Callithrix jacchus: one gene and its partners. The protein of the gene in region 3 interacts with the protein of the main gene of each other region in a biochemical or structural test. Links are inferred from orthologs where the notes say so. Each region holds a gene or a part of one and is shown on either strand. Other genes may lie near its edges.

Region 1 (4,286 bases), on a different chromosome or scaffold from region 3:
TGCTTCTCTAATCACAATAGGCTAGGCAAGCTCAAACTATGTCTTTGTATAAGGCTGCCCTCATTTTGACATGTAATATTAATTTTTTTAAACTTTCATTTTCTGCCAATTGTAAATACATTTCATTGAATCTCTGAAAAATAATGGTTTTGGTAAAATGATACATACCTTGGAAAACTAGCCACTTTAGACTCAAGGTCATTTGAATGGTTTTAGAAAATGCTACAGTTGTATGACAAAGAGCTAGCTTTACACTTAAAAAGAGAAAAGCAGCCAGGCGCAGTGGCTCACGCCTGTAATCCCAGCACTTTGGGAGGCGAGACAGGCGGATCACTAGGTCAGGAGTTCAACACCAGCCATGACCAACATGGTGAAACCCCCGTCTCTTAAAAAAAGAGAGAAAAGCTTCTGCTTTCAAGATTTTAGAGAAGAAAAATATCCATACAGTGGAGGTGAGAAAAGCCCACCATGACAATTTTCTAAGACCAAAAGAAACTACCTCCAGAAATGTGGCAATCCATTAAGAAGCAGGAAAATCTCAACACCTTGACTACCTTGTGCGGTTTGTGGCAAAAAAACCTTAAGAACAACGAAGGAACTTAACTGAAAACTGACACACTCTATAATAGTTGCATGCTTAACAGTTTTAACAATGCTTGGGTGACAGGTCAGGCCACCCTGGCTTAAAACTGTAAGAAACAGATGGGGCAGAGTGGCTCACGCCTGTAATACCAGAACTTTGGGAGGCTGAGGCGGGTGGATCATGAGGTGAGGAGTTCAAGACCAGCTTGGCCAATATGGTTGAAACCCCCATCTCTACTAAGAATACAAAAATTAGCCAAACATGAGCATGGTGGAGAAAAGATTTCTCCACAATGCTTCCACTTGTGATGGGGTACACCATAATCAATTCCAACACTTCAGATCAAGAATTTTCATGTAAAGCCCCATAAGACTCAACTGCATTAAACTGATGCAGAAAATCTGTCTACACATTCTCAGTTACTTGCAGAATTCATTCAACTAATTCAGAGACCAGATATGATATACAAGTTTTATATACTGATAATATGTATTAGTATATAGATTACAGTAGTTAGAAATATTAGTCTAGTGGAAACTAATATACACACTACAGTCTAAATAAAAAGAATCCCATCAAATAAGCTTGATGTAAATTCACATGAAAATCAAGGCTGCCAAAAAAAGGCATTTGTTAGTCAAGCATACCAAAGAACTGCTTAAAGCTTTTTTCCTTTTTAAGTGGTGCTCGAAACAGCTGATAGATCTCACAATTTGCCTTTTGAGCCTATAAGCTGAAAACAGAATAAAAGGCCTTCTCCCTTTATACAAGTAACAAAATCTCTCTATTCTGTACATTGCTTAATTTAAGATACTGTGCAAGTGTGGTTTTAATCTTCACAGCCCCCGCAATGACATTTAATTGGGAGCACGTATTTTCTTCGGAGGATTTAGCTGCTTATGAAAGGAAAATCTCTTTGTGTTTTTAACTATTTGTTTTATAGATATACGAGAAACCCTACTTTCCTAACTTTTTAACACACATAGAGATGAAGACTCCTAAGACAAGGTCATCTCAGCCATGACCAAAGACTAAGCTGCTGATTGAGGAAAGATGATATTTTAGAGAGGGTTAAAACGCTAACCTTCCTGATTCCCTGCCCGAAAAGATAGTATCATGGCCCCAATGGAGTGGGTACCGCAGGCCTCCTGGCCAGAAGGTTCTGTAGCCCCATATTCTCATGGCTTTCTGCTCCTCCTGGTTCAGCTCACAAAGCAAATGTCTCTGCCTCTGACTGGCCTTCCCTGAGCCCTGTCTCTAAGGCAGCCGGCACCTGTACTGGCTATGCAGTCGCCCCGTTAGGAAGTCGTTCTCTTCACATCACCCGTAACTGAATTCGCTTCTGTGTTTGATTGCCCTATTCGACTCTACGCTTCACTAAGACTACGATCTTGCCTGTACTGTTTAGCAAACACAATCTCCAGTGCCTAAGCGATGCCCAGTACAGAACAGGCTCGCCAACTCCTATCCAATAAATGAATGAACAGAAAGTGAGAAGGGGACTGTCATCCCTGGGACTCAACGCACAATGAGACTAGGAGAAAGGAAACGTGAAGGGGGTGAGTAACCTTTTTCCCCAGGGAGACAAAGGGAGAGAGTCTGAGGTGGTCCAATCCAGAAAAGGAAATAGTGGGGATGCTAAATCACCCCAGGGGACAAAGAGTGGACAGGCAGGGGGCGGGGTCAGGGTGCGAGGGATTCGCGCTTAGAGCACAGACCGGCGGCCCCCCGGCTTGAGAATTCACCAGGGCTGGAGAATAGGAGGGAGGTGGGGGATTGAAGGGGGCTCCAAGGCCACGACGAGAAACAGGCCCACCAGGGGGACAAAGAGAGCGGGAGGCGCAGTGCGTCGCTGTCCCATCGAATCCTTAAGCGGTAGGGGCGAGGCGGAGGCGAGACCCAGAGGGAGTCTGGGGCCTGGGAACCTGAGGGGGATGTTCCCGCGGCCTAAGCGAAGGGCCCGCCACGCTCCGGGGCGCTCCCGCACCTGGTAAATGGCCGCCCAGCTCCCGGACTTGTCGATCTGCTCGAACTCCTTTTCCATCTCCATGACGGGCCAGGGCGGCTGCTGTGCCTCCTTCTCAGCCCACTGTGCTGTCTGCCGCTCCAAGCCGTGTCGCGCTCTTAGCCCCGAGGCCCGCTGCAAGCCCCAACTCCTGCCGCTACCGCCGCCCTAGCCGCCGCTGCTTCTTCATGTCAACCGGCAGCCGGAACTACGCACCGCGCCTGCCAGGGGCTCCGCCCCTGAAGCATAAGGACCAATCAACGATCGAGAATGTCGACAAGCACTTCCGCGGGGAGGAGTCGGGGGAGGTGCTAGGGGAAGTAGCCATAGCACCGCGAGACGTCTAATAGCTCGCGCTCCCTCCTCCCTTCGGGGGGCTCTGGGCTCGGGCGTGGCTCTCGCGGGTTGCCTAGGCGATCCCGGGAGCCCCGCCCATGGCGCGTGGGCTCGCCAGGCCCGGGAGGTCCTTGAGTTCCAGCCTCCACCTTGCCCTTTGAGTCACAGAGTGAGTGGCCTTAAAGTAGTCATGCACTTTTCCTGCAGCGCCAGAGCCCTGGCCTCAGTAATCCAAGCTAGAGTATGGGAGGAGTAAACCGTGATCCACTTCCTGCCTCCCAGCTCTGGCCAGATGTCTGCCCTCTTTTCATGAAACTCAGGAGTGTCGTGGTTCACCAGGCTGCTGGGGAAGCCCACTACTCTAAGGGTAGTGCCCTGTCTGAAACGCAGAATTTCCATTTGGGTGCTGCAGGAATGAATGGATGGAGTACTGAAATGATTTTTTTCTTTTCTTTTTTTTACTGGAATGATTTTCTTTCTTTTTTTTTTCTTCAGAGACGGAGTTTCACCATGTTGGCCAGGATGGTCTCGACCTCTCGACCTCGTGATCCGCGCGCCTCGGCCTCCCAAAGTGCTGGGATTACAGGTGTGAGCCACCGCACCTGGCCTACTGGAATGATTTTAAATGTTTTCCAGAGTATCAGGGAACTCCTACTCAGACTGAACGAGGCAGAGCACAAATTTCCTGGTGCATTATGTTAAATAAAAATCATAAGAGTCCAGGCGCGGTGGTTCACGTCCGTAATCCCAGCATTTTGGGAGGCAGAGGTGGGCAGATGCCTTGAGACCAGGGGTTCCAGAGCAGTCTGGGTAACATAATGAGACCTTGTCACTACTAAAAGCTAAAAAAATTAGCCGATGTGGTAGGGCCAGCTGCTGGGGAGGCTAAGGCAGGAAGGTCACCTGGGTCCAGGAGGTGGCAGCTGTGGTGAGCTCTGATGGCGCCACTGCACTCCACCCTGGGTGACAGAGTGAGACCCTGTCTTAAAAAAAGAGAAAAAAAAAAAAGCTGGTCGCGGTGGCTCATGCCTGTAATCCCAATACTTTGGGAGGTCAAGGCAGGTGGATCACAGGATCAGGAGTTCAAGACCAACCTGGCCAACATAGTGAAACCGCGTCTCTACTAAAAATACCAAAAAAAATTAATGGGCGTGGTGGCGGGCGTGTGTAATCTCAGCTACTTCAGAGGCTGAGGCAGAGAATTGCTTGAACCTGGGAGGCGCAGGTTGCAATGAGCCGAGATAGCTCCACTGCACTCCAGCCTGGGCAATGAAAGCGAAACTCCATCTCAAAAAAAAAAAAAGTTCCGCACTAGGGTCTCAACAGACTAGACTAAAAATTAAAATGGTGTCACTGATGCTA
Region 2 (4,249 bases), on a different chromosome or scaffold from region 3:
ACAGTCGCACCTGAACAGTTGCATTGATGACTGTATCCGGTCTACACAAGAGGCCATACCTGGGCATAAGAATGGACTGACAAAACCTAGCCAACACACCATTGACAAATACACATTTCTTTTGTTAATAATACCTGTGAAGCCTTTCACAACAGACATTTCCAGTTTTGTTTTCAGGCTCCTTGCAGCTGCTCCTCTAAAAGTCTCCTCTCTTCCCAGAGCTGACAATGACCAGAAGCAAGGTGTTCTGTCTTTTGTGCCATCATTTGGGATGTCAGCTCAGGTATCAGTTTTGTATCAACTCAGTATGGCTTGTGGGTCTGTTTGCCTTTGTTATTCATGCCAAGAGCCTCTGGGCATCAGTTCCGTGTGAGAGAACCCATTCCATGACCCTCCTTCTTTTGGCTGTTTTGACTCGATGGCTCTTGTTGGCATAGTCGGTGAATGTCTGATGCTCTATCCATGCCAGACCACCTGCTTTGCTGTCTCTGTGGTCTGAACTAGTTGTCTGAACTACTCTTTGATAATCTGAGATTACCTTGCTCTACCTTTCTTTTCAAGTCACATCTCAGCCCCTCAGCCACATTCCCGAAGAACATGACAAACGGATGGGTCACAAGTCACGTAGCATAGTGTGTCAGACCACCAGGTTTTGAAGGGATTCTGTTTGGGTGCCAAAAAGAAAGATTTTATGTCACCATGATTTTTTTTAATGGCCTGTTGACACTTAGGCCTTAATTGAAAGCATTCTTACTCAAGTAGAGTTGACAGAGGAGTATTTGGTAGTTGTGGTTGCTGGTCTGAAAAGCATGTGGCTCTGTTTCAATACTCAAAGAGATCTTCTCAGGGGAAAAAGTTCTGACATCTCAAACAAATGACCTTCATGCATAGTTTTGACACGATGCCCTATTAAGTATGTGTGTATGGTCGGTACCTTGTGGTAATAATTCAATACGGGGAACAGAGTAGCAACAAAGAAACATTAGGGTTATATTTAACCTCTGTGGAATTGGTGTGTAAACAAACTGCTTATCAGAAATGATCATATGGGGCTTTGTTTAAATAAATAAGAAACTGACACACAGGGTCTGTGGGATATCTCTGCCAAGCAGACCACCCTCACATTATAAGATACCACATCCATGTCTGACCCCATATGGAAAGAGGCATAGCAAGCCAGCACTGGTTCATATTCCGTCCACCACATAGTGGGTTTGTGATCTTAGGGAATCCACCACAATGCTCTGAAACTCTCAGTTTCCTCAGCTATAAATAGTGAATAATCAAATGATCTACCTCACCATTAATAAATGTTAGCTATTTTTAAATCAAGTTTAATACAAAGAGAAACATTTTATTTTTCCAGCTGCCCAGAGCATTTTCCAAAATCCTATCACCAACAAATACTATATTGTATTTATTATAGCAACTTTGTATAAATGGAGTCCCTGTCCTATGCTTAGATGAAATATGTTGGCATTTGAGTTTGCATGTCTTCTATAGGAATAAGTGTTTAGTGAAAATGGGTGGAGACAAACAGATGTTCTCACAGTCCTGTTATTCACAGTACCGCCAAATCGAATGTTTCCATATAGGTGCATTCTAATGGCTTAAATGATGCGGATATTTTCTGGCCAGCCATATGGATCTTTTGTCATCTAAGATGTTAATATTTTCCTTATATTTTATAGTAGTTCTGGAGGACCGCCAGTTTCTTGAATAGGGTCCACATGGCTCATTATGCACAGGGCCTGGAAACTGCCTTACGCATGCTGTTGAGATGAACAGTGACACTTCAGAAGAGCTGGGAGCTGGGGTAGAGCAGTGGCTAGGAGAACATATTCAATTATTTTTCCACTTGCATTAAGCTACAAGTAATGAGCACTTTCCTGTGCTTTACAGTAAGTAATTAAAAGAAATTATAAAGTTGGATGCAAAAATAACCCGAAGGACAACTGGATGTGTGGAGCCACCAGTTTTCTCCATGAGCACACAAGGTTAATCCTTGTTACTGCTCAGAATGCTGAGTTTCTACAGGAAGGGTTGCAGGTCCACACATGTTTTGGCGTCTACCCACACACTTCTGTATGGCATGACTGTGCATCCCAGAAGAAGGGCTGTGCTGTGTGCCTCCGCGTTTCAGTGGAATTTAACAAACCGATCCCTGAAAATGGTTTCATAAAGGTGAGTAACAGCTAATAGCCTTCTCTTGCTAATTTTATCTTTCCCCCAAGATTTCTTGATAATAATTTGAAAAGGAGTGTTATTCCTTGGTCTCTAGAGGCAACTTACCTTTCCAGTTTCTTCCCTCACCTGTTTTCAACTCTCTTGCTTTTTTAAATTTAATGTTCTATGTATTTCAGAAGATAGGATCTAACCTAGTGAGGTCCCTTCATCAGGTGATAATTATCTCATTTTCATTTTGGCCCTCTGAATTAATGGCATTGAAGCCTGGCAGTTTGATCCTAAGATGGGTTTAATTATGTACAGATACTCTTTCTATAATGGAAATTGCTCAGATAACTAATTAACCACAAGAATACACTGACTATGGAAAATTTCAGGAGCACCGTCTGTGGAAAAACTGGGAAGGGCATGCTGTCACCACAGCTCTGGGGTCTATTAAAAGTGTGGTTATGCAGCACTGGTGTCTAGTGGGGCGTTGGCTCTCAACTGTCAGAATTCCCATAGCATTTCATGGCAGAGAGTCAAGATGTCCAGCAATACTCTGAAAGCAACCTGTTGATTAAAGTTGTTAATTCTGAAGAAAGTGATTGAAATAAGACAAATGGGTCTTAACTTTCTTTCTCTTTCTCTCTTTTGTAAAAAAGTGTGATCATCCTGGCATGTGCCCAATCCTAACATAATGCCAACATCTTTTCTTAAAGGGGGATTCTGTTTATCCTTGGGTCTGACAGTTATTGCCTGTTCTCCCCTTAGGGACAATGAATGCAGTTGCATCACCCTTGCTTGCTTTTCTTTTTTTTTTCTTTTCTATTTTTTTTTGGTACAGAACATGCTTATTTTTGGATGTAGGGACTTGAAAGACAAAGCCCCACCTGGCTTTCACAACATCTCCTGTTAGTAGGTGTGCCTTGTATGTAATTTGAAGGAGGCAGTCCCTTAGCTGTGTTTACACTATACTTTTCATTGTGGGGCTGAAGGTGCAATCAACTATACTTGAGATGCTACCTGGGAAAACAGGGTTCTGTGTCATCTCAGCCCCACCCATTTGCAAATGATTTAACAGCAGCACTATTCGGGTTCCTAGTGCAAGTCATTTGCCTTTGGGCCCGTGAACTTGGTGACTTCGTGTATGGAAACAAACAATCTTTGCAGTCTTTTGTAAAAAGCCTAAACAGTGGACCAGTCTCCAGTTCTACTTGGCAAAGCTGCCCCCATCAAATCCCTCATAATGTTCAACTTAAAAATTTTTACTTTTCTCTGGAAATCTAACTTTTTTCCTTTTAAAAAAAACCATTTTAAGTACTTCAGTCTTGAATGAAATGATCCCAAATATTGGACACCAGCTAAAAAATTGAATTACCTTCTGGGAACCTTATTGAAGAAGAGAGATATTGTTTGGAGAGGGGGTTTCGATGCTTGATACTTATATTTACTGTTTTAAGATTTCATTGTTGTTGCTGCTGCTGCTTTATTCCGTAAGTTTTGTTTCTTTAAATTTCATGGTATTTGGTAGGAGAGATCTGGATCTGTTGGTTTCAGGACGAGTCTAGAAATAAGAAATCTGCCTTGAGTGGGTGAGTTGGTTCGCTCTGTTGCTATTTCACCATTTAGGACCAAAAGAACTCACAAGGACAAGAGACATCTGGCTAAAAGTAATACCAGTGTGACTGGACATCTACTACCTGCCATAATTGGTCATATCATTTCCAGTATGATGCTGATTGAGTGAATGATATTAGGCTATGTTCAGGGATCACAGAGGCTAATTGTGCTTATATTGCCTTATAGCATTGTGGTAAAAATTAATGATTATGTAGATGTCCACATTTAGGTTATCAATACTCTAAAAGTTCTCATTGAACCAATCATGTTTATAAGTAGCTTGTACTTTGTAACATAATAACAATAGTGGAAAAATTAGTTGACATAAAAAGAGTGCAGACTTTATTTAATACCATTACAAAAGCAAAGGCATTTTTCCACATAAATGTCCCCATAAAATAAATGGAACCAAAGAGGAAAGATGACAGGTAACCCCATGACATGCTAAGAAAGTATCCTA
Region 3 (3,500 bases):
GACCCAACCAAACACAGTTCCTCTGCTTGTGGTTTTGCATGGGTTTTGCCATTGTGGGTACAAAAACTCATTAAACACTTGCAACAATTATGGTAATAATAATAATAGCCCTTTTATCATAAAATGCCCAAGCACCCTAGAGTAGTTATTAATACAGTGTATATCACATAACTGTTCAAAATTGTCCTTGCCCCTTAACTTGGCTTTGGCCCTGTGACTTGCTTTGGCCAATGGCAGATACACTGAAGAGACAGTCCAGTGCACCAGCTCTGAAGCTAGGCCTTAAGAAGACTCTCATATTTCCTATTGTCCTCTTTCACTCTGCACTTGTCATAACAAGCACATCTCCTGTGTAGCTGCGGCTTCATCACCCTGCATCCCACAATAGGTACATGCAAAATAAAACTACTCCACTGACTTATGGATCCATGACTAAACAATGGAGTTTTAAGCCACTGGGTTTGGAGATGGTTTATTGTATACATGACTTTGTCAACAGGTAAATGATAGACTGTATCTTCTCCCCACATGCAAAAGCGTCAGTTACTCACCGTCATCAATTCCAGGCCAACCCATGAAGTGAGCAGAAATCTGTTTCTCATCCTTCCCATACTCATTCTTGGCTATGAGAGTGTAGTCCCCATTGTTCATGTGAGTGGGATTATCCAACTGGAGGCAGCCGTGGTACTCCGTGTGATTGGTAACGTGTATTTTAGTACAGATGTATTTGGACTCATTCAATATTGCCCCGTTATAGAACCACTGAAGCGCTGGTTTGGGGTTGCCTTTCACAGTGAATGGAATGCACCAGTGGTGGTCTGAGGTTGGAGATTCGAGAAATGTGATAGTTGGTGCAACTAAATTGAAAAAGAGAGAGTTAATAGCATCAGAAAGCTCAGAATTCTCCCCATCGAGATGTCTTCATTGATAGGGAATTTTACTCAACTGTTATTTGGCTTAGAAAAACACATGACCAGAAACTCTGGAATCCATCAGTATTTTGTATCATCATCAGGGTGGATGTAACTCCCTGCAGAGAGCTTCAGAGCAACTCCTTCTACTGTTCTACTTAAGACCCATGCATTACAGTCATTTCTCAAATCTATTCAGTATAATTGAAAACCAGCTCCAAACAGATCCAAGAGATTTCTGAGAGTGGAAAGAATCCATTTGAAGTTGACTTTGGCTAATAGTATCTGTATCTTGATATTACATAGATTCATCACCAAAAATACCAAAAATCATAAAATAATGGATACTTTTTGATAGTACTTCTTTCCTAAATAAAACAAATAACAAAAATGACTCTTAAAATTTTACCTGAAGCCCTGATCTCACAAACTTCAAAAACAGATCAAACTGATCAATGTAATATATGTGCTGCTACTGATTAATTATTGTAAGTATAATAAATCATTATTTTTTACTGCTTGTCAATAGTAAATACCCTTTGAAAGTATCACATTTCATCAGAGTGTTGTCCATTTTTGCTAAGATCCCACATGCCAGTGTTTTGATCCTTTAAATGTTTGGGGTCCAATCTAAACCTGGACAGATTAGATATTATTTCAACTTTAAATATAAAGCACTTTATCCTTTGGGGAAACAAACATAATCAAGTACACTCTTTAAACAGAGTACTTATCCTGGGTGAAGATATTTAAAATCCTTCATCTGTTTATTTTAATGTAGTCTGACTTTGGTAATTACAAAATCAAGGACTAGAAAAGACCTTTGAGATCTAACAGCATCATTTTTTCAGATGAAGAAACCAAAGTGCAATGAGGTTAAGTGACCTCATCAAGGTTACTGAGCAAGGCAGATCTGGAACAAGAATCTTGTCTCCTAATGTTTAATCCAATGGCCCTTCCCTCTCATGCACTCCTTCCTGACTGCATGTGTTCATCAAACAAGAGGAGAAAAAATCTGAGACATCGTAGCCAGGGAACAGACAAGCACTCTGAGTGGGGTCTCTGCAATGGTTATCTTGGTTGCTACTGTTTTCTGTTTGTCTGTTTTCGTTTCTTTAGACTCGCTCTGTCACCCAGGCTGAAGTGCAGTGGCACAATCTCGGCTCACTGCAACCTCCGCCTCCCAGGTTCAAGTGATTCTCGTGCCTCAGCCTTCTGAGTAGCTGGGATTATAGGCGCCTGCCATCATGCCTGACCAATTTTAGTATTTTTAGTAGAGATGGGGTTGCACCATGTTTCCTAGGCTGGTCTTGAACTCCTGATCTCAAGTCAATCCACCCACCTCAGCCTCCCAAAGTGTTGGGATTACAGGCATGAGCCCCTGCACCCAGTCAGATGTTAATATTCTTTAACATGTATTGCTTCTGCTGTTTGTCTAAACTTTGACAGATAAAGTCAATTTTTCAGAGCCTAGTGACCATATAGATATTAACCTGAAACTGAGGAAAAAACTCAAGTTTGGATATTTTTAATAGAAAACAGGTAATCTGATATTACCCTCTTACTTGTATTCAGGTAAATCCTCCCACAATACTACCTAGAAAGAAGAAAAGCTGATAAAAGAGCCCAATTCACTTTCATAAATTTACAGAAAGATTTCCAGTTACCAGTGACATTCCTCTCAATTGAGCAAGTGTGCAGCTGAACTCTGCATATGTATGTTGTGACAGTGTCCTTCACTGTAAGAAATTCGACTTTACTAAACTTAAATTGGCAAAGTTTAATTGTTTGCTTTACCAAATATCTCTCACAGGCCTCCTTAAAATGGTCTTCAGAAAACAAAAGTTTTTAATATGTGATTTCATCTATAAAAATTCAATTTAAATATAATTTGGGGGAACCCTATATATACATATATATATATAAAACACAAAATAAGGTCCATACATGTGTAGATACACACACTCATAGACCTGTGTTATAAACCAATCACCACAAAGACCACAGTGGGGCAGAGGCCACACTTACCTTCCTCCCACCAGCCCAGGTCCCCACACCCAGGGCCCACTCATTCCTTCCACCATGCTCAAATGAATTTTGGGTTAGGTGCTGATTTAAGGACATATAGTTGGAAATGGTTGCAAACGTTTGGAGATAACATTGACTTCAGGCTTCTGAGTGGGTCAAAATGATGAGAAATTATGAGTTTAGTCCCCACTGGGCATAGTGGTGGTACTAACAGTGATAAAGGATTATAGCTGATGATTTCAATTGTTCACTCCAGCAATCACACACTGAATGTGTGCTATGAGTGAGTGTTAACCAGCATATTGGCACCAGCTATGGCCAGGGGTCTACACATGTGTAACTCATCCACACACTTACACACATGCACACTCATGTTTTTCTCATCTGAGTTCCAATCCAAATGGAGTAAAACCTCATTAATTTATACTATGCCAGGTCAGAATTTACAATGACATGAAGTGTCTATATAGTTTTTACTGAATATACATCATCATGCTAAAAGCCACAATTTGGAATTTCAAAATGTATATTGTATTAGTTATAATACTTAAGAACAGTGCA

Evidence for each region.
Region 1: the proteins of NTRK2 (region 3) and PTPN1 form a complex in vitro, tested with the Homo sapiens proteins (2 studies listed by BioGRID, with this or other methods). The link is inferred for Callithrix jacchus from reciprocal best matches to the Homo sapiens genes NTRK2 and PTPN1.
Region 2: the proteins of NTRK2 (region 3) and BDNF form a complex in vitro, tested with the Homo sapiens proteins (3 studies listed by BioGRID). The link is inferred for Callithrix jacchus from reciprocal best matches to the Homo sapiens genes NTRK2 and BDNF.

Annotation. Positions count from the first base shown.
Region 1 is NC_133506.1:46,046,775-46,051,060, reverse strand, and holds the start of PTPN1 (tyrosine-protein phosphatase non-receptor type 1), read right to left. Parts: upstream 2,801-4,286; 5' UTR 2,634-2,800; coding exon 2,571-2,633; intron 1-2,570. UniProt on the Homo sapiens protein: Tyrosine-protein phosphatase which acts as a regulator of endoplasmic reticulum unfolded protein response. Mediates dephosphorylation of EIF2AK3/PERK; inactivating the protein kinase activity of EIF2AK3/PERK.
Region 2 is NC_133511.1:93,064,347-93,068,595, reverse strand, and holds the start of BDNF (neurotrophic factor BDNF precursor form), read left to right. Parts: upstream 1-1,449; 5' UTR 1,450-1,959; coding exon 1,960-2,184; intron 2,185-4,249. UniProt on the Homo sapiens protein: Important signaling molecule that activates signaling cascades downstream of NTRK2. During development, promotes the survival and differentiation of selected neuronal populations of the peripheral and central nervous systems.
Region 3 is NC_133502.1:98,299,902-98,303,401, forward strand, and holds part of NTRK2 (BDNF/NT-3 growth factors receptor), read right to left. Parts: intron 858-3,500; coding exon 552-857; intron 1-551. UniProt on the Homo sapiens protein: Receptor tyrosine kinase involved in the development and the maturation of the central and the peripheral nervous systems through regulation of neuron survival, proliferation, migration, differentiation, and synapse formation and plasticity.